4 linked regions of the Neodiprion lecontei genome follow. The protein of the gene in region 3 purifies or fractionates together with the protein of the main gene of each other region. This does not show direct contact. Links are inferred from orthologs where the notes say so. Each region holds a gene or a part of one and is shown on either strand. Other genes may lie near its edges. The genes, in order: DNA repair protein RAD51 homolog A; serine/threonine-protein kinase Pink1, mitochondrial; sequestosome-1; trifunctional enzyme subunit beta, mitochondrial.

Region 1 (3,981 bases), about 20 Mb from region 3:
TGGAATTATTCAAGACCGTTTAACACCAAACAGTTGTATACTTTTTATCTTCCCAACGAACGACGATGAGCTGGGATCAAAATTATGCGCGATGATAAAACTGACACGATTGCGTCATTGATAACTTAACCTAACAGCAATTTTCGCCGGCTGCTTGTGTCACGCACGGGTGTCATGTGTACTACACCCATGAGAGGTATACCTATAACAATCACGTATATATATTTCAGTGGTAACAACTCACCAGGATGAAGGACATTAATTAAGGATGGCTAAAAAATTCTCTTTTTTGTATCGATAATTTACCAATCGAATTTTTCTAGCATCGATTCCAAGTGTGTAAGAATCGAATTCGATTTTCAAATCTTGAACTAAAAAAAAATTTTAAAGTCCATAATTCCATCGGCTTATTCGTGTATAAATAAATAAATAAAATTGCCTAAGGAGTTCAGATGATTATGTTAAAAAATGTTCAAGGCTCTGGAATAACGAATGAAAATGATTTATAAAAAAGCAAAGAAAGTTTATTTCATTATCATTTGCGTTTTCTTTGTTAATTGATAATACACATTTTAAATTACTGCCCATCAAACAATTTTTACACAAGGGGAATTATTCATTTATTTATTTATATATCGTAATTAAATTGCTTAACGATTACTGATAAATTAAACATTACAATCTACGATAGAAATACGTTCTCATATATAAAAATATTAAATCTTTTATCTTAGAGTTATATTATCCTATATAGTATATCGTATCACAAAACTTTGTCAACTCGTTATCAAAATTATTCTTTAGCGTCCCCAATGCCGTCCGAATTTATAGAAAACATAGCTTCGCTCTCGGGAAGACAGGGCGAGTCATATATTTTGCAAACTCTAGTCTCGCCCCTGCCCTTCCTCAAGTACAATCTTGTGGTACTGGCGTGAGCGATGATGTTACCGCCGATGGGCTTCTTCTGATCGCCGCCAAACATACTGGCCGCGCCGTCGACCTGGGCTACAACCTGGTTCGTTATTACGACTGCTACGCCGTGCTCGTCGGCAATTCTCAGAAGCATCCTTAGAAACCTAGCAAGGTGCATTTGTCTGGCGGACAATTCCCCCCTACCCGAATAGTCCGTTCTATAGAGACCTGTGGCGCTGTCGACAATTAGCAGCGCGTATCGAGACTCTGTCATCATCGCAGAAGCTTGAATGAGCAGCTGTGTCTGGTGGTCGGTATTGAAGGCTCTAGCACAGGCGACATTGTCCAAAACAGACTCGGAGCTGATCTTGTACCGTTCAGCTACTGCGATTATCCTCTCGGGACGAAACGTGCCCTCCGTATCGATGTAAAGGCACTTTCCTTCTCCACCGCCCATGTCCACTGGCAACTGGCAGTTGACCGCAAGCGTATGACATATCTGCGTTTTGCCTGTTCGGAATTCCCCGAATATCTCGGTTATCGAACCCGTCTCAATCCCTCCACCCAGGAGCCTGTCCAGTTCCGCGGATCCTGTCGTTAGATATACAGTGTTCGCCCTGTACTGATGGATCTCGGTTGCAGTCTTAAAGCCCATCACCACCATCTTGTACGCAGCATCCAGTATTTTCTCTACCTTTGCCTCGCTCAGCCCTTTTATCGTGGTGAGCTGCTTCTTTGGCGTGTACGCCACTGACTCGACAGTGTAGTAACCCGCTTCCTGCAGTTTTTTAACATCACCCGCCGTAATGCCATTACCCTGAAAAAAGAAACATGCATTTTACACTTTGATACTTGTTCCGACGAGCGGTGAGAAAACAAGCTAATAGGCGGGAATATTTTATGGTTAGAGAGAGTTCACTTAATCCTCAGTTGGGCCGATTTAGGTTAGGTTGGGTAACACACTTCTTCGCATTCATTACTCACTTCTATAGCCTTTATCAGTTTCGCCTGTGGATTAAACTCTTCTAAATCCTCGTCGCCCTGGATAGACGCAGTAGTTGCCGTAGCCGTTACCGACATTGAATTAATTTTTCGCCTGCTGGACGAAGCGAAAAAAGAACCTTCTACGCGATCCTGTCAAATTTCGAGTCGGGTCACAACGTTGTTTCCCGCCGTAATAATATTTACGTAACACGTATACCGACTGAAAATTACCGACGGTCCGATAACGTTGTTGTTCTGTTTCAGTCAACCGACTTGACCGGTAAATCAGACTGCTATGCTCATCGATTAAAAAAACCACAAGAGCCGTGACGTCAGACGTGAAAAAACCACCGCTGCTGCCCCACTCCTCCGCCTTGGTTGTACAGTACCTGCCACTGGTTGGGTGGCCAAACGACGAAGCAGCAGGTCGTTAATTCATTAATACAAGCTCATGTTGTCACATAAGAGTCTGCCGAGCATTAGAGAAGTCAAAGCAGAGCCAAACAGCGCGGAATTAGTACGAGCTAGAAGGTAGCGATACATAGACAGGATGGCAGCTCTTGGAAGGAAAAACTCAACGACGACAACAACGGCAGCAGCTGCGGCTATAACCACAGTTCTATTCGACCTGGACAACACGTTGATCGAGACTAGAAAGGGGGATAGTTTAGCGTGTAGAAAGGTACGTGCTGAAAAATAAATCAGCCAAGACGTCGGTCACGCGTTCATCTTGCTTTCGTTTATTTTCACCGATTCATTGCTACCTGCAGTGCGTGTGTGCGTGTATGTCGTATATCTCGTCGCCGCAACGAATAAAATGAGAGGGAAACGGGGGAAACGGGCCAGACAAAAATGAAAAGAGAAGAAAAAATTACGGATCGAAGAAAATAATCCGTACATAGACACCCGTTTGCTTCTCATTCTCTCGCTCGCTTTCAACTAGTTCGCTATTCGCGTTGCGAACGAACGAATGAGGCGGCGAGCGGGGCGAGCTATCTCTGGAAAAATACCGCCAACGTATGTTTCGCACTGTGCGAGCTACTTTCGAAGGGCACGTGACGTCACGGCATCGCGACGCGGATGTGCGCGTTTTATTCGATTCGATTGAAGCACCGAAAATTTTCGATGATCCAATTACGTTGGCAGCAGTGCTCGCTTCTCGTCGCTAAAAAACATTCGCATTGATCTGCGTCAGCTGAAGTTTAGATGCTCGTTATAGCGTAGCAATTTGTAACTCGATTTACAAACACCACTGATTAAACTCTCTACATTTAATTATTTCAATCCATTGCCCAGAATCATAGTGTCAACAGGGTTCGCACGCACAGGGTAAACTCACAAGAATTTTAAAGTAAGACTGAAATTTTGAGTTTGTCGAACAAGTAAACTCGTTCTTATATACAAAGTACTGTCGATCTTAATAAAAAAAATTGCACGTAAAATTTTGTTTCGTCGCACCACTTCATACATTCTATGTATATTACTTAATACCAAACATTCTTTCGATTTTTTTCTTACGGAAAATCGCAGGCTGTCGTTTGTAAATTGTTAGATAGTAAGTTAGTTATTAAGTAATATCGAAGATATTAGTATTAATGTAAAAAAATTAGCGGCATATTTCTTTGAAGGCTACTGGATAAATCCTATTTCCAGGCTGAAACGCTTAGAAACATCGGGGACTTTTAGATTCCAAAAAGCGTACGAACTCTGGTCAACTTGACCTATGAAAGCTTATTCTACACATTCTACACACTTTAGTGCAGAATTCTATCCGTCTTATCCATTATCCTCGCAGTTACTCGTCAGTTTGATGTGTAACCTTTTAATATTAAACCGATATCCAATACTTCTGATTTAAAAAGATTTATTCGTCATTTAAGGGTTATGCAGGTATTATTTCTGTGAGCTGAATAAAAAAATGCAGACGTTATCATCGTGTGGTCGAATGATGTCAATCTATCGACGAAACTATTTGAACAACGATTACATGTTATAACGTAAATGGCCTTCTAGATTTGAGCTATTTTACTGAGGAACGAACGTTTAATATAGGTATTGAATTCGTGATTTACAAAAATTTAATAT
Region 2 (6,929 bases), on a different chromosome or scaffold from region 3:
CAACAGTTTTTGAAACAATATTGGCGAAAACCTTAAAAAAAATATGCAATTTCAATGTGAAGTACTAGCACATGGGAAATGTACTTTACTGAAGCCTTCTTACCATGAAGCTAAGGAGACCGGTGAGAATGGTGGAAACACTCCATGCCGGGTTCCAAGTGTCTGGATGAAAATCGGATATGGATAGACAAAGCCGTGTGTTTACTTTGAATCTGCCGTTTGGCGTGGTCATGTATATGCTAGGTGGTTTGAAAGGAAACTCCCGTGGAAATACGAGCTTTCCGTGATAAAATCCACCCTCGTAAGGTGTACTTTCCGGACCGTTGACAACATAATGCCTGTAAGTATAAAAATAAATAAACAAATCAATTGTCTCGTCGTAGGCTTGCAGCCTGATTCAATGCTATACGTCGACTGACATCAATATTGTGCAAATGGATGAATTGTCAATCTTTTACGCACGCGAAGGATCAAAATAATGTTATCTTTATTACCATTCTAATATATTCGAAGGTACGGGTTCAGCTACGACGTACGGCACCGGGTCCTTTTTCAGTCTCAAATAGTCTTGCTTTAATCTAGCAGTGGCAGTGTTTGGCTTTCTATTCATTATTACCATATATATATAAACTAGGCTGGGTTGATCGGTACTATTGGTAATGGAAACTTCACTGTTTTCACACTTGTATTCACGAATGAGTATTAATTATTTCTCACATCAGGCTCAACTGTTTTTCGTGAGACACATTACCGCGATACAATTAATTACATGTATACGTATAACGTGATAACCTATTTTCGTAGAGGAGTCAGACGTCAGTTTTGACGATGAAAAAAAAAAATGATAAAAAAAAAAAAAAACCACGTCAACGTTGTAAAGGTTAACTGGAATTTGAGCGTTTGGAAAATACGACTTCACGGTACACTCGCAGAGTTTTGATAATACCTGGCTAAATACGGGGCGAATATTATTGCGATTGTTAGAAATCAGGAGTCACAACGAATGAAAAAATATCCTTCGACTTTGACAACCAACAATTTTCACGGCACACAAACATATGATGGAAGACCCGTATACCGGAAGTGAAACAATCCAGCATCCTGCGTAGTTGACTTGTGCGCTTTACGCATGACCATTATATTCCAAGTATCGCTCATTGTCAGGCGCACTTTCGTCATTCGAATCGTAAATACGGATCAATTCAGACTGAGAGAAGTTGGTTGACTGGAATTATTTTTCTTTATGCGTGTCCTCGCACTTCGCCAAATGTATCATCAGTAGACTGAACAGATTTTACAACGCAAGTTTACCTTTATAACGCCACAATCGCGGATGTACTTGCGAACTAGGAAGTATGATAAGTATCTATGCTATGACAGAAAAATTAATTATACTTATACCGTTATATTAGCGTTGTTGGCGATACGATTTTTTTGTCGCATTCAGCTTCACTAGGTACCTTATCCGAAAGAAGGAAAAACCCGCGAGTAGTATACGTCCTGTTTCCTGATTTCATATTTTCCCGCGCTTTTGCGGATTTCGAGTCTGCGCAAAATGGAGGCTGATTTCACCCAATCGGGTCCGAAAGGCAGGTTCATCCATGGGTATGATAATTGCAAATGGTGAACTTTGAACTGGCGACAAAAGACGTGTTCGAATTCTTTTAAAAATAATTAGAGTGTTCCAGGACTCTTGATAATTGCGCGATCAAAATTTTCCAGTTAAAACTCTTCGCGTCTGGGTTAGGGCCCGCCCGGGCTCTCTCGGCCCACGAGTGCGGAGAAATGTCGTTACGAACGGTAGCGCAACGTCTCCTGCAAAATGGTCGTGTCCTTCTCCGTTCAGTACGCAATCCACAATATTACACGCAAGGCAACAAAATACACGTTGTGGAAGTAGGTAAGGGCCTGTTGTCATCTTCTACCCGTGACTATCATACTCAAATCGACTCGACACATCAATCTCATCAGTCCGGTACCAATTCGCTGGCAATCGTCACAAATAACCATGTCACTATCATTAGGTTATCCCTTGCAACGTAACGGCGTATTATAGGTATGTCGTACTTGGAATGTATATGTAAATACTGCATTCATTTGAAACGTCATTTCCAATCTCAGAGCTGGTACGAATCGTTGTTTTCATTGTCTTTTTTTTTTTTTTTAGTAAAATCACTCGAGGCACCTTCATTGTTGCGATTATACGCACTTCCAAGTTTTGTACAATTTTATATACTCAGCATTTTACATGTGATTATATACGTTTAACGCGACTGGTGCTCATAATAATGTTAGATTTTACTCCCGCTTCAATTCAGTGTAGAGTGTATTCTCATTGTTTTATTCCATACTTTCGACTTGAAACATCATTTTATGCGAGAGAGTAGGAATAAATTACTTTCATGTTGAGAACAACACAAAGAATTACAGAATCAAAAGCAAACATTCTTGTTTACTATCATACTTATGGGACAATTTTTAATTCAATTCAGATTTTTATGTATCAATTAGTTAGTTGATTGATTACTAATGAACAAGAATTCTTGACTCATAATTAATTTCTTCTTCAACTATAATCTAATAAATATTTCAACACCATAAAATAAAAATAAAATTTCTTGCCAAACTATGACTAGTGTATTTTGAAATTCTTGATTCAGGTAAGACCCAGGGCCAGCTGCCTACGGGTGGTAATGTCTCTGCTGCAGGGAGACACCTCGGATTCCTGGGACTCCATGCTCGGCGGATATTTGTTGACAATGTTTTGAAGCGAGTGACCAATAGTCTCGCCGGAGATTTACGACGTCGTGCAGCAAAACGTTTATTATTTGGAGATTCAAGACCATTCTTTGCTCTGGTTGGCGTATCGCTGGCATCTGGTACTGGAATACTTACCAAAGATGACGAGCTGGAAGGCGTTTGCTGGGAAATCAGAGTATGCATACTTCCAGATATTTTTTTGGAACATAAAAATTAGATGCTCTTACAAACAAATTTCATTTTTTGCAACACAACTTCTATGAAATTCATATTTTATCATGTCATTCAAAGGAAAAAATAAACCCTTAACTAAAGCTTCATTAGACATGGTGATGTCATCTACAAATGGCTCTTATTCAAATGTCAGCTTATTTGTTATTATTATTCAGACTTTATGTTGTTTATAAATATATCATTTTTCCAAGTTCAAACTTAGCTGGCATTTATAATTATTTTGTAAATGGGATTTTAGATAGTCACATGTGAGTTGAATGTTATTTCAACACACTTGTTTTTGTAAAATTTAACTAATGAACGATTGTGAAAATTTTCTAGCCACGAAAAGGAACGCTAAACCGTCTGAAAATCGTCTATAGACTGTAATAAATTTAACATGTTATGTAATCAACTGTTACCTCATTCATAGGAGGCTGTGTCTAAGGTACAATGGAACACTCCAAAAAACGACCAGAATTACGAAGCAACAACGATTGAAGACAATCCAGTTGATTTAAAGGATTTTGTAATTGGACCAGCAATAGCCAAAGGATGCTCAGCAGTCGTGTATGCCACTCGTCCGATTGACCCCGAAGAAAAACAGGATTCTCAAATTACTGTTGATACCAGTAATAAGGATCTGTCCAGCTTTCCGTTAGCTATTAAAATGATGTTCAACTATGACGCAGAGTCTAATGCAACAGCTATTTTGAGAGCTATGTACAGAGAGACTGTACCAGCTAGAAAACATTGTCAGAATGAAGAACTGGCTTTGTGGGAACAGAAAATGGCTGACAACAAAAGAATTCTTTCTCCACATCCGAACATCGTTGCTATGTATTGCGTTTTTGCCGATAGAGTTCCTGATTTACCGGGATCATCGAAAATGTATCCTGACGCTCTTCCACCTAGGATTAACCCGAACGGCTCTGGAAGGAATATGAGCCTCTTTTTGCTGATGAAAAGGTACTTGACAATATAATCTGGGAGCTTCAAATTTCCGGAATTTTGCAGATTCTGAAAAATTGGATCAAATTTATTGGTATTTTCTAAAATTATAAACAAGAGAAACACTTGGGAAAGGTATACCTAGAATCATGTGTGTCATGTTACATGTTATGTTACAACGAAATGAGATATCAATATAGTGTATCGATTTCCAATGACAATACGGGTATTGTATTTCAGGTATGATGTTAGCTTGAAACAATATATGGTGGGCAGAGAATTAATCGTTCGAAAATCGATATTGTTGTTAGCACAACTATTGGAAGGGATTGTTCACATGTGCTCAGCAGGTATTGCACACAGGTAAGGGAGTCAGTGTTGGATTACGTTTTCCACTTGGTGTAGACGAATATTTCTTATATCATGCACCGTGGTTATTATACCAATGGATGACTTAATATTTGTTCATTAAAAAAGAATTAGCGTGAATTCTTCATGCTGCTTTTAATTTACGTTTTGAACAACAGATAAAAATGTGGTATTTTTGGTTACACGTAATGTATGTTTATTAATACAGTGAAATTTTTTAATACAGGGATCTCAAAAGTGACAATATTCTTCTGGACCTTTCAGAAGAACGTGATAATTGCCCGTCGTTGGTAATAACTGATTTTGGATGCTGCTTGGCAGACAAAACTCATGGTCTCTACCTGCCATATAGTTCTCACGATATTGACAAAGGAGGAAACAGTGCACTGATGGCTCCAGAAATCGTTAATGCTGAACCAGGACCATTCACTAGCTTGAATTACACAAAAGCTGATCTGTGGGCTGCAGGGGCTATTGCATACGAAATATTTGGTCAGAAGAATCCATTTTATGGGGAAAAAGGGCAAAAACCACTGCTGATGAACCACAGCTATATAGAATCGGAATTACCGCCACTTCCAGAAGTAATACCACCTGTTATTGTAGCATTGATTAAGAATATGCTTAACAGAAGCATGTACAAGGTATTTATTTTGTTAAGGGAAGGAAGTGTTTTCAAAAATTCATCAAAACTAATATCACTTCTATTTCCGTTACAGAGGAATAATCCCGATATGGCGGCAACCATTATACAAGTCTTTCTCTGGGCACCAAGCATTTGGTTAAACAGCGACAGTAAATTACCGTCAAGCAACGAGGTGATAGTTGTTCTACTTTTTGAGCTTTAAATTTCACGCGTTGATGTACTGTCATTTTTATTATTATTATTTTTGTGTTCAAGATTCTTCAATGGCTTCTGTGTCTCACGACCAAAGTTCTTTGCGAGGGTCGAAAGATCACTGATTCTACGCCAAATCAACTTTCTCAGAAATTGAACGCAGATCTCATTTCCAATCGTGAATATACTCAGCAAATATCTACCCGATCATGTGGACGTCGCACAATGCCCGAGTATCAATTGATAGCCAGCTTTTTAAGTAGAGTTTCACTGATAAATGTAAGAGATGCGTTGAAGTGGATTCATAACCACACTTAAACTCTAGTATTATTGGAAGGAAACAAGAGATGATTCTTAGAGTATTGTATACTGATGCATTGATAAAACATGATATGCTGGTAGAGATCAGTTGTGCTTTATCTCTTGAACTTTGATAAATTTTATTTATTTCTTCAATAGTCTTCAAAACTTTACAAAAATGTTGGTTCGGGAATCATATTACTATTGGGTATAACCAACATGGTTACACGCTATTGCAATACAAGGCAATCCTTACATTGAGAAAAAATGTCGAAAATGAATTTCTACGTTACTTCCAAGACACGTATGCCTATTCATCTTACTGTACATAAATTTTCTGATTTAAGGAAGAATATTTTTTCTTCTCTTCTGTAACTGCGCGAAGCACAAAAAATGGTACTGCAGAATAATGTTATGTCAGTCTCTTCTTTTTGGTGAAAGTGCCTTTGAAAAGGATGTACAGATATTATCAGCTTTATTTTTGAACCTATTACGTTGTTTTTCAAATTTTATTCTACTTATATCATTGTTAATCCACAACAAGTATTTTGAATACGTGAAAGAAATAAGGTTCCTTGAATAAACAATTTGTCGTATTATAAAATTGAGCACTGTGAATTTTGCCGTACCAGCAAATATCGATGAAAGTCGCAAGATACTGCGGAACTACTCGTACTTCGCGATACACTTGATTGTATCGAGATAAGTAAGAGCCTGTTGAAATATTGAGTTCCTCATGATGAATTACATAACATTATTTATTGCAGCTTGGTTAAATATCTCATAGAAATACTAGTCGAATATTGATAAAGAGTATATTTCTCTAAATTATCGTGTTCTGAAATCTAGCTTTAGGGGAAATTATGTTGAATTGGCTGTTATTATTTCATTGTATTTGTGAAAACTTGTATATGAGATGTAAATATCGATTTGAAGTTGAACTAGGATCCAAATAGAGAATACAAATATACGTGGAAAGTGCTCTTAAGTATCTATCTCATAACTATTGTACAGATTATATAACAGTGCTAACAATACATACATAAAATGGTTATATAATTTGGGACTAGAAAACTATCCTGAAGAATATCCTGCATATTTGCATCTCGTGTTTATTAGTTCTAACAATCATTTTTTTTTCTTTTTTATATCTAATGGATGAACTGGCTTTCCACTTCTCTGCATTGCAAATTTCATGTCTTCAATGTTTAAACCCTTTGTTTGAGCCAAATCTTCCAAGTATATGAGGTATTCTTCGAAACTGATGGCACGTTTGTGAAATTTAAAAAAACACAATCCAGTGTCAGTCGTTGTGACTTTATGCATATCAAGAATTTTAGCTGACGCCAGCCATTTATCGCTTTGCGAAAGTGGCAGCAACTTTACGCCTGTCGAATTGGAAAGTGGATCCATTCGACAGTATGCTGAAAAAGTGTCATAAGCTTTTATCACCACAAAACAGTGCGTGAAAGCAACTGTAATTTAGAGGTAATATGAA
Region 3 (4,633 bases):
TGGTGCTACCTGACAAAGTATCACTCACTATTGCCGCATTGGAAATGACGAAATACGATTGGTGCAACGGAGCTGTTGTCGTGAGCGTGGATCAATTAGCTGTCGGGGTAAATTAGCGAACATTTTACCCGTTTTTTGATCATCTGAATACTAGATTCATGATAACTTATTTGGTCTTCATCTAGGGCAAAAAAGAATCTGATCTTCCAAGATTGCTACTTGGAAAAGCCGGCTTTGAGCATTTGGATCCCTTTATGCCAGTATCTGTGAACCCCTACACGGATTCCGAGTTTTATAATGTTATGGATTACTTCAAAGATAGACGGTGGGTCAGAAACTGCGATGACGAGGGATTACAAGAGTTGAAACTCTTATCTGCCAAAAATGGTTTCAAACTTATGAATTTATGCGCAGCTTTGTAAGATGGATATGTAATAATTGAAATAAAAGTTGTTTAGCTTAGAATAATTTTCGTAAATTAAGGTATTAAATTCATAGGAAAAGTAGGTTTATCGTGAAATCAAGTAAATAGTCAATTCAATGCTTTTTGCTTTGTTTATATTTTAGGAATCAGAAAACAAAGTCAATACAATCACCATTGCAGGAATTATTATCATTTCTCACAGTAAAACATGAGCAAACAAAAGGGAATGCTTTTTTTCGGTAGTTACGTACAATATAAACGGTAAAAGTAATAAAATTGCAGTAAAAACTATGCACATGATAGATATCAAACATATATCGTTAGTGAATTAGCAGTTTAGTCGTCAACAATTAACCACTACTTTCGTCATGTTTTTTTTACTGCTTGCTATTGCCGGGACGAACTGGTTGCAGAATATCCAGAGCCTTGCTAATGTCACCATTTTTGGAAGCCAGCAGCTGAGTAAGCCATCCGCCTTCATTTGTGAAACCCATCTGCATCATTGCAACCACAGCGCGTTGGATGTTTGGGTCGGGGTGATAAATTGGGATCGGAGCCTCGGCCTGTTGCGGCAATTTGGGATAAATTGGTTTCGTAGCTACGGTAGAAGCCAATATCGGAACTGGTGCAGAAGCTGTCGGAACAGTTGTTGACGGCTGAAAACAAACAATATAATAGAACACCGATCACTTTTCAATGCATGGAATCAAATTGCAATTTATTGTAAGAGAAATTTACCACTTTAGGTACGGCTCCAGTAGACAAACTGATGCTCGAAACTCCTTCAGTAACGTAAGAGACCGGGGTATCCTGTTGATTAAGCAGTGTCCACTCCTCGCTTTCCATGTTAGGTTTGTCGATAGGTGCGGAAGCATCGACAGTAGGCTGATGTACAGGGTTCTCAGAAGTCGATGCAGTATCAACTAGCTTCTTTCCTTCCCCAGGAAATTTGTGTGCCGAAGTACTAGGTGGGCTGTTCTCAGGTGGGGTTTTTGCGTTACCGCCAGCAGGAGCCTTCCCAGCTGCATTGGGAGCCTCGGCATGAACTTCAACGTCGATACTCAATGGGTTCAAAAAATTGGCTAGATTCTCTCCGACATTCTTAAAAAGCTCTGCCTGTCGATTGATCCTTCGCTTGTCCTCAGTTTCAGTCTTAGATTCTTCACCCACCTTCTGCCCAGGTTGTTCTTTCATTGGGCAGCTTCCTTCTGACGGAAGTTGAGCCCATTCGTTCAAGTAGGCAGTTACAGTGTCCAGCCAAGAAGGTCTATCCGCCTCCAGTCTCCCAGCGTGCGAGTTATGGGTAAACTTTACCCTCTTGTAGGGACACTTTGTCAAATCTGTATCTCTTGCAGTCCGCCCATTCTTTCTGGCTAACTTGTACATGAAGTGCGATAGTCGACGTCCAACGTGGGGGTTCCACTGCAACGGGACTGGACTGCGTATCATACAGTGCTCCGGATGAAGTCCCTTGGACTCGCAATCCGCGCACAGGTCATAGTTTGGGCATTGGATGCACTTGTAACGAAATCCATGGACATCCTTTTCACATCCGTCGCAAATTATGTCGATGTGAATGGCCTGTGGCTGCTCGGCGTCCGGCTGAGCATTCTCAGCTGGGTACTCGGAGTGCAGGACGACGTACAGTTTGCGAATGCTTTGCTCAGCAGTTTCGGATAGGGCAATTCTGAGCTCCTCGTCGCTGGATACGATGACGTTGTCACCGTCAGCGTCTGTGATTAGAAAGTTTGTGTCATTACTATAATTTTTCAAATTTACAATATACAGATTTTGGAATTGCGCAATAACGTTGACGATGATTACTCGCATTTTACGCGATTATCAGATTGATATTTCGTACCTTTCCAAGAGATGGTAAAACGCCGCGAGCGGAGTGCCGCGAAGACGGACTGCAGCTTCTCGTTCAGGTAGAGAAAATTCGTCACTACGTCCTTATCGATGCCGAATCTCCTAACTTCGGGCTTAGCGTCGATGGGGTCCTCCTCTTTGGACAAGAATACTTTGAAGCTGACCGTCTCAGACATCATTGTGGATGTTGAACTGATTGTGAACTCAGAATGTCAGAAGCTCTGGAATGTAGATTCGCGTGTTGTGTATTTTTCAACCTCGTAAACGCCTTGAATCGTTTACAAATCGCTTTGTTTTTTGAAGCGTGCACAGAAGCGTCGTCAGGCGATGAGAGTCTTCGAATGATGTGCGCAGTTGCCAAACGGTGATTTTTATACTCGACGCAATCCGCAAGCGGCCATTCGTCTCAACTGGCGCGCAGGTCGCGCGAATGGCGCCGTGCCACGACGTTCGAAATTCGAATTTAAAACACCGTGACACAGCTTTCGGGGATTACTTCGAGATGATGTAGCTTGAAGAAACTCGTCGCACAACTTCAACGAGAAATGTCATCATGTAAATTTCATCCGACGACTCGAAATTGTGGAAAATTCTACATTTGAAAAGTCGACATTTAAACATTCGAACCTCAAAATGGCGTCTTCGGCCTGCATGAGATGCAATTTTCGTGCGCAGCACGTCACTTTGTTGCCATTGTCATCATTATTCATCGTGACTCACTACCACGTGAGGTATACAACGACAAGTTATCAATATCTGGATACGTGGATTACTGGGTGAATAATGCGTACATTACGAATATTCAGATAGCCTAATTTGCAATCGGAATTACGCGATACGGATTCGAAAATCTAATCTTTCAATGTTTCCAACTTGACTCATACGGTGAAAAAATGTAGATATTCTGCACCGGTGGAAAAACATTAATTTTCGTTTGCATCCATTAATTTTAAGTACTGCGTTTAAGTTTATAATCAAATGAAATTTCGCTGAAATTTTTACCCATAGAACTGGCATTGGAATATACCAGAAGCATCTTGAAATTTCTTTTCTTGTGACTCACACCTGATAGAACATTAAATTTTTTCTTTCATGTTTTACGCCGTGCTTCCTATCTACATTTCGCTACAGGTTGCGTGAGGTTGCGTCAGTGTGAAGCCAAACTGGGTATCCAGCGGCATCGCATTACATGGCAGAATTGATGCCGAAAGTTGACGAGTTCACTCGCTCAAGCTTCACTAACAATGAATCATTTATACTAGAACATTCCCAACTTCTATGCCCTCGTGAAAATTTATCCTCTAAACTTTGTTGAGAGACGATGATAAAAGAATCTAAAAAGTTAGGTGATTCAAGATTTTCCAGAGTAGGTCACAGCAAATTAGAAAACAGAAAAGTAGTGGAATTATATCCAATTTCATCTGGTTAAAGGATTTCTTATTCAAAGAAACTAAACAATAGTTTTTCAAAGCAAAGTTTCTCCCGGTGTTGGTATTAATACGGGTATGATTAAATAGCCTATACGATATTCGAAAGGATGGAAATCCGCATGCGGATACAACATACGAATTTTGTTTAGGATAGTTGTAACGTACCTGAAACAGCAGGCAAATAAAATAATCTTATATCTACAGTTATTTGAACGCGTTTTACAATATAAATAGTCTTTGCAAAAGTTCAATAAAATATATGAAATATACACGCAGTTGGTGTATAATTTTGGTAAAGTTTACAACTTGTGCGTGGGAATAAATTATCGCCTCGACGACTACCTAGAATCTGGTCTCTGATAGTTTTCGTAAGATTCTCCAGAGACAAGATCAGCGGAGGATAATAGTATAATACGCGTTCTTATTATAAACGGAAACTTTTGCAAGTGTGTAAGTAACTAAACGCACGGTGAAAGCTGAAGCAAATACAATTTTCCTACGCTATCATGGCTTTGACTACTTATACGCGTATATGTAGCCACAGAATGCGACTTACATACATTCAGTAGTTGCTGAAGTTATTACGCAAGAAATTATTCTAGGCTTGCGCAACGCGGTTATGACATTGTTCGCAAGTATTAATTGCATTCTATTTGATTTCTATTTGAAATTTCGTATTATAGGCCACGTTACCGCGGAAGAATACAGACATTAATTAGTATAGGCCGAAACATCGTTCGTAACATCGAACGATTATCACCCTAGCAATTTTATTTATTTCGAGACAGCACATTGTTATTAAATACTCGCATATTCACACGCTGATTTAAAACTCGCACAGGTATGATACCACATATATAATGTATGAGAAAATACGTTATACCGACAGCGATCTATACAGCTAATAAGC
Region 4 (5,097 bases), on a different chromosome or scaffold from region 3:
GCTGGTATTCCCATTAAGGTACTTCTAATAATAACTTCTTACGCACTGTGCTTTTACTGATTTCTACTATAAAAATAATGAAATTTGATATGCTTTACTTACAGGATTACTCTGTAGGATGCACAGCAACGATAGCCAGCATGGGAGCTTCGGAAGAAGTTGACAGTAAGGATGAAACAGGATCTGGAACAGGAATAGTTGATGCAAATCATATGGAGGAATGTACAGGAGCGACGACATTAACTGTCGTTGCTTTACCAGGAGCCCCTGGCTCTAATTATGAGTCAGATACCGACAATTCCGGTTTAGTAGTCGTGGCGCAAGGAACTGGTGCACGACTCCATCTCTCCAGGCTCGAAGGGCTCAGGCAACGGGCGTTGCAGGGCTGTCGGGATACAAGGGTGATTCTTGATCAAGCAGTTAGATTCCATTTAACGACACATGATCCTCATTTTATTTAGTACTATGTTTAATTCATCCCCATATTTGTTTTACTTATATATGTGTGTATGTGTCGTCAGCTATGCATATGAAATGAACTAATGAAAATTTGAAATGGATCATGATTTATTGTACTATTTCATTACGCTTTTTTTTTCCTTTTTTCAAGGTGTAATAAATCTTAAAAAATATATACATGTACACATTTATATAACAGATATCTCCGACTGTAAAAATATAAATTCGTTCTTTCAGCCTAGTTTTGAAAGGGTTCGTACTCTTTTGCATTTATAAAACGTTTAATGCAGTGTATCGTATTTACGAATAGAAGATTAGAATAGTTTATTCTGCAGTTCCGTTAAAGTTTGGCATCTGGGTGTCTCTCCAGTATCATTCCAACTCCCTGTAAATAAAGATAAATGGTTCATCCGTCATTGATTACTGCAGCGCATGCCAGGCTTGAGGATCCAAGAATTAAAATTTGTGTATAATAAAATAAGAAATCATTGCTGACCTGACCACCAGCAGCGCAGGCAGCAATTAGCCCGAATTGTTGATCCTCTCTGATCATGCGGTTTGCTGTGTGAGTTGCTAATCTAACTCCAGTAGCGGCGAAGGGATGTCCGATAGACAGAGAACCACCCCAAGCATTCCACTTGTTGATATCTGGCACACCAATTTTACCTGATCTACCCATATATTTCTGTGCAAACCAATCAGAATCCATGGCTTTCAAGTTTGCTAGAATTTGTGCAGCAAACGCCTCATGCACTTCCCAGACTCCTATGTCATTCAAGCCCAGGCCGGCTTTTTCCAACACCTGTGAGGCGTTTAATTTATATACATTTTTGTATTTCGTGCAACCTGTATTTAATGTAACTAGATATTTCCATTAATTGGGGGATCAAAAAATTTTGTTCCATATGTTCGAATTTTACAGTTCCAGTACTTAAACCAGCCAAATTGCGAAATCTGTATTCGTATGACAGGGTCAAAATAAAAGCTAGGGAAGATAATTTTACCTTTGGGATAGCATAGGCAGGTCCCAGGAGCAATTGGTCGACCGGATCCTGCGATACATAAGTAAAGTTCCTCAGATATGCTTTTGGTTTCAGTCCAAGCTGCTTAGCCCTTTCTTCAGTCATGATGAGAGCAGCGGATGCTCCGTCAGTCAGGAAAGATGCGTTAGCTGCTGTAACAGTCCCGTATGGTTTAACAAACGCTGGCTTAAGCTTAGCTAGCTGTTCTGGTGTAGAAACTCGAATTCCATTGTCCTTGTCAATGACGTCATTCACACCAGGCACTGAAAAGATGTGAAACTGTGTTAATCAACAAATATACATGTGGTATGAAATTATCCAGTAACGTTGAGGGAATTACCTTTGAATGGCGCAATATCAGATAAAAATCCTTGCTGTTGGGCTTGGGAAGCGAGAGTATGCGAGCGCAAGGCATACTGGTCCTGTTCTGCCCGAGTTACTCCAAATGCCGAAGCTAACCTGTCGCCACTGTGACCCATAGTTTCTCCGCTAGAGAATTCCGCTACCGCTGGCAACTAACAAAATCGAAGTACATGGTTAAATATTGACATTTAACACAACTATTCTTTACAACAATTTATAACTTTCCGCTTACCTCTGGAACAAAGTGGCCAGGCCTGATGCTAGCCAGGAGGCCTAACTTCTGAGGTAAAGTCTTTGCTTTATTGGCACGCAGCATTAAGGATCGCATGTTGCGGCTGTGCCTGATTGGTACATCGGACATGAACTCTACACCACCGGCAACGATAACATCGTACACGCCACAGGCAATCAGACCAACGCCAGTAGTTATAGCCTGATTACTGCTGATACACGCCATGGTTATAGTATGTGCGGGTGTCTTCTGGCTGAAGCCTGCAGCCAGTGCTGCTTCTCGACCAACATTGGAGGTCTTGACTTCCTGGATAACTGTGCCGTACGTTATATATTCTACCAAGTCTTTGTCAATTCCAGTCTTGTTTACAAGGCTCCTGAAATTAATGTTTCAACAGGTTGGGTATTACGTTAAACCTCTTCATTTTCAGGTGTAATAAATTTTAGTTTTAAATCTTTCAACCAAAAAAATAAATAAATAAATACATAAAACTCACAGCAGGGCATGCCTGGCAAGATCATGAGGCATGAGCTTGCTGTATTGTGTGCCTGACAAAAGAAACGGAGTGCGAACTCCGTCGATGTAGACGATATTCTTTCCAGCCGGACTTCCCCCCTTTGTCGCATAACCTCTGTCCCCATTTCTGGTTCCGTTGAGGTTTTTCAAAGCCAGAGGAAGAGCTACATGCACAAATTAAACAGATTAGCATCGCACTTTGCTCCTTCAGATGCGAGCGAAGAGTTGAAAAGTTATTTGGAACAAATATGAAAAAAATTGTGAATGGGTAGGGTAATAGACTTTTAAAAATAAAAGAAGGCTTACTCTATCAGCCGAATATGCTAACAGTAATGAAAATAAGACAGTGAAGCCTGGTAGAATTAAATCTTGACAAATTTCATAAAAATGTAGTACTTTTATCACAGTATTATTAGTGAAAAACTGTATATTGCGCTTGATTGCTGAATCTGTCTGCTGACTTCAGCTTGATGGAAAAATTAGAAAACAATGGGCATTAGGTATTCCTGGGGAAAATCACGGTTTCCTCAATCATGTTTTGCATATTACAGATTGGCTAATTAGCTTCAATTGAAAAAGCATGCGGAAAGTGACCGAGTGTACTTTGCACCGCGTTGAGCCAAGCAGGGCAAGGGGCACAATTGAATGGCACGGTATGTGCGGGGCGATGGCTCATCCAATTACACACTGAACAATTTCTTAAAGTCTATTAATCTAGCCGAAAAAAAAATCGTTATAAATCGGTGTGTTTATCGAGTTTACCTGCGGTTTGTGAGCCGATACCGTGATTAAGGCGTATTAGATTTCTCGCTAGATACGTTGCCATGTTTTTAATATTACTATCAACAATATAAATAAACCAAGCACACTTTAAACACTCCGCTTTCCACTAGCAGCCTTCTGCCAAGTGCCAAAGTCTCGAAACAGTTAACTATATCTAAAGAGTGCTTAGCTGGAATAAATTACTAATTTGCCGTGTACGGATTCAGGTTCTTCGTATCGCCGCTTGAGCGCTAGCATTCACTTCATAAACTGGCGGGATTTTTAAGAGTCGTCGCCTGAAATGATGACTGAATCAGCGTTTATTTGCACGTACAATAAGAAAACTTTTTTCAATTATAAGTAAAGATCCCAAAACGATAATTGCAATTCATAATAGACCATTAAAACGTATTAAAAATAACAAAGGTTGTTTTTGCACGGATAAACTTAAAGATTTTGCACTGAAAATGGATTTTCAAAGATTTCGTCTTGGTACAGAATTTATGCGTTCTTTTTTACGTTGTTTCATCTGCTCTCTAGGAAAGCTTAATCTTGAAAAATTGTACAGTCGTATTATTCGTTTGCGTTTAGTGTCACTTGGATTCTGTGATACCACATCTCCGCTTCGCTCCGTTATCAGGTTTCATCGGCTGGATCGAAGATGGCACTATACTTAACTAATAACTTGAAGTCGAGTTAGAAATAATATAGTGCAACGGAAAAATTATTCTACAGAGCTGAGAATTTCGCCAATCGCTATAAGTTACGCGAGGAAACGAATATTATGTTAAGCACACGGATAATCACGCGATAAAAAATGGCCAAAATGTGTTAGATTTTTGCCATAGATAGATAATACGAGCATCTTCGATTACCGCCGCAAGCGTGTTTAGTCAACTCTTGACAAATCGCAGTTATTCAGAAATCTGCTTACTTTAACTTTCACCAATTATTTCTACGATTCCGGTACTTTCGACTGAAACAATCGGAGGCAGAGACCGTCGATAAATGCATCGGCTTTCTTCCCACCGACCGGAAATTGGCTCGTTATCAGCACTGGATACTGCAGAATACCAAGAATAATACAACTTGCGGTTCTTGGATTCCAGCCACGGACGAAGAAGGTATAGGATATAGGTCGGGGCGCAGGTGTAAAACTATGAGGGGATCAAGTGTAATATAGGGTGCTTTGTATAATAATGCAGTGTATCGGCTGTAGAACGAAACCTGCAATTATTTACCTAGGCATAAATTCACGAGGGTGTACTTACAGGCAATTAATCTTTGTGACACAAGATCCACCCATCGGGCTATATGTATGCATATACGTTACAGATGCATCGGTAGCTATAGCCGGAGAGAAATCTCTATAGCCGTGAATTATACAAGGGAGTATATTAAAGGCAACACGGAGCAAGAAACAGGGGGTTTCTGGATGTAGGTACTTATAGGTTGTAGCAGTTATACTCGTATCGTGACTTTGCTAGGTTTTTATCCCGTATTTTGGCCGAGATACCACTTGTTTATTCAATTGGCGCCTATATAGATTAGTGGGCATCATTGTGACGTTAATGGGGGGGATTCAGCTTGGACGGGCTAAAATAATACCTATTTTCAGTATTTTTTTTCAAAGAAAATGAAAACACTTGGAGCAATTTGAGTTTGAGGGCTTTATCATTTAGATGTTTAAGAACATTTTTGAATTATTTCATTGAAATTAATAATAAAATCGCGGCATGGCGC

Evidence for each region.
Region 1: the proteins of sequestosome-1 (region 3) and DNA repair protein RAD51 homolog A purify together in Homo sapiens (affinity purification with western blotting; 3 studies listed by BioGRID). This does not show direct contact. The link is inferred for Neodiprion lecontei from reciprocal best matches to the Homo sapiens genes SQSTM1 and RAD51.
Region 2: the proteins of sequestosome-1 (region 3) and serine/threonine-protein kinase Pink1, mitochondrial purify together in Homo sapiens (affinity purification with mass spectrometry; 3 studies listed by BioGRID and IntAct, with this or other methods). This does not show direct contact. The link is inferred for Neodiprion lecontei from reciprocal best matches to the Homo sapiens genes SQSTM1 and PINK1.
Region 4: the proteins of sequestosome-1 (region 3) and trifunctional enzyme subunit beta, mitochondrial purify together in Homo sapiens (affinity purification with mass spectrometry; 3 studies listed by BioGRID and IntAct, with this or other methods). This does not show direct contact. The link is inferred for Neodiprion lecontei from reciprocal best matches to the Homo sapiens genes SQSTM1 and HADHB.

Annotation. Positions count from the first base shown.
Region 1 is NC_060266.1:1,583,177-1,587,157, reverse strand, and holds DNA repair protein RAD51 homolog A, read right to left. Parts: upstream 2,123-3,981; 5' UTR 1,993-2,122; coding exon 1,897-1,992; intron 1,730-1,896; coding exon 794-1,729; 3' UTR 546-793; downstream 1-545. Other genes in the region: N-acylneuraminate-9-phosphatase, read left to right, coding at 2,447-2,578.
Region 2 is NC_060263.1:37,179,220-37,186,148, forward strand, and holds serine/threonine-protein kinase Pink1, mitochondrial, read left to right. Parts: upstream 1-1,600; 5' UTR 1,601-1,785; coding exon 1,786-1,900; intron 1,901-2,660; coding exon 2,661-2,935; intron 2,936-3,406; coding exon 3,407-3,942; intron 3,943-4,164; coding exon 4,165-4,287; intron 4,288-4,519; coding exon 4,520-4,937; intron 4,938-5,012; coding exon 5,013-5,111; intron 5,112-5,194; coding exon 5,195-5,449; 3' UTR 5,450-6,419; downstream 6,420-6,929. Other genes in the region: ubiquitin-conjugating enzyme E2 J2, read right to left, coding at 104-338, 495-619. UniProt on the Homo sapiens protein: Serine/threonine-protein kinase which acts as a sensor of mitochondrial damage and protects against mitochondrial dysfunction during cellular stress.
Region 3 is NC_060266.1:21,786,051-21,790,683, reverse strand, and holds sequestosome-1, read right to left. Parts: upstream 2,653-4,633; 5' UTR 2,473-2,652; coding exon 2,286-2,472; intron 2,158-2,285; coding exon 1,163-2,157; intron 1,081-1,162; coding exon 802-1,080; 3' UTR 542-801; downstream 1-541. Other genes in the region: 28S ribosomal protein S29, mitochondrial, read left to right, coding at 1-107, 186-422. UniProt on the Homo sapiens protein: Molecular adapter required for selective macroautophagy (aggrephagy) by acting as a bridge between polyubiquitinated proteins and autophagosomes.
Region 4 is NC_060262.1:41,630,318-41,635,414, forward strand, and holds trifunctional enzyme subunit beta, mitochondrial, read right to left. Parts: upstream 3,517-5,097; 5' UTR 3,419-3,516; coding exon 3,355-3,418; intron 2,757-3,354; coding exon 2,573-2,756; intron 2,453-2,572; coding exon 2,077-2,452; intron 1,997-2,076; coding exon 1,822-1,996; intron 1,745-1,821; coding exon 1,464-1,744; intron 1,262-1,463; coding exon 956-1,261; intron 845-955; coding exon 800-844; 3' UTR 517-799; downstream 1-516. Other genes in the region: exosome complex component RRP41, read left to right, coding at 1-18, 105-461. UniProt on the Homo sapiens protein: Mitochondrial trifunctional enzyme catalyzes the last three of the four reactions of the mitochondrial beta-oxidation pathway.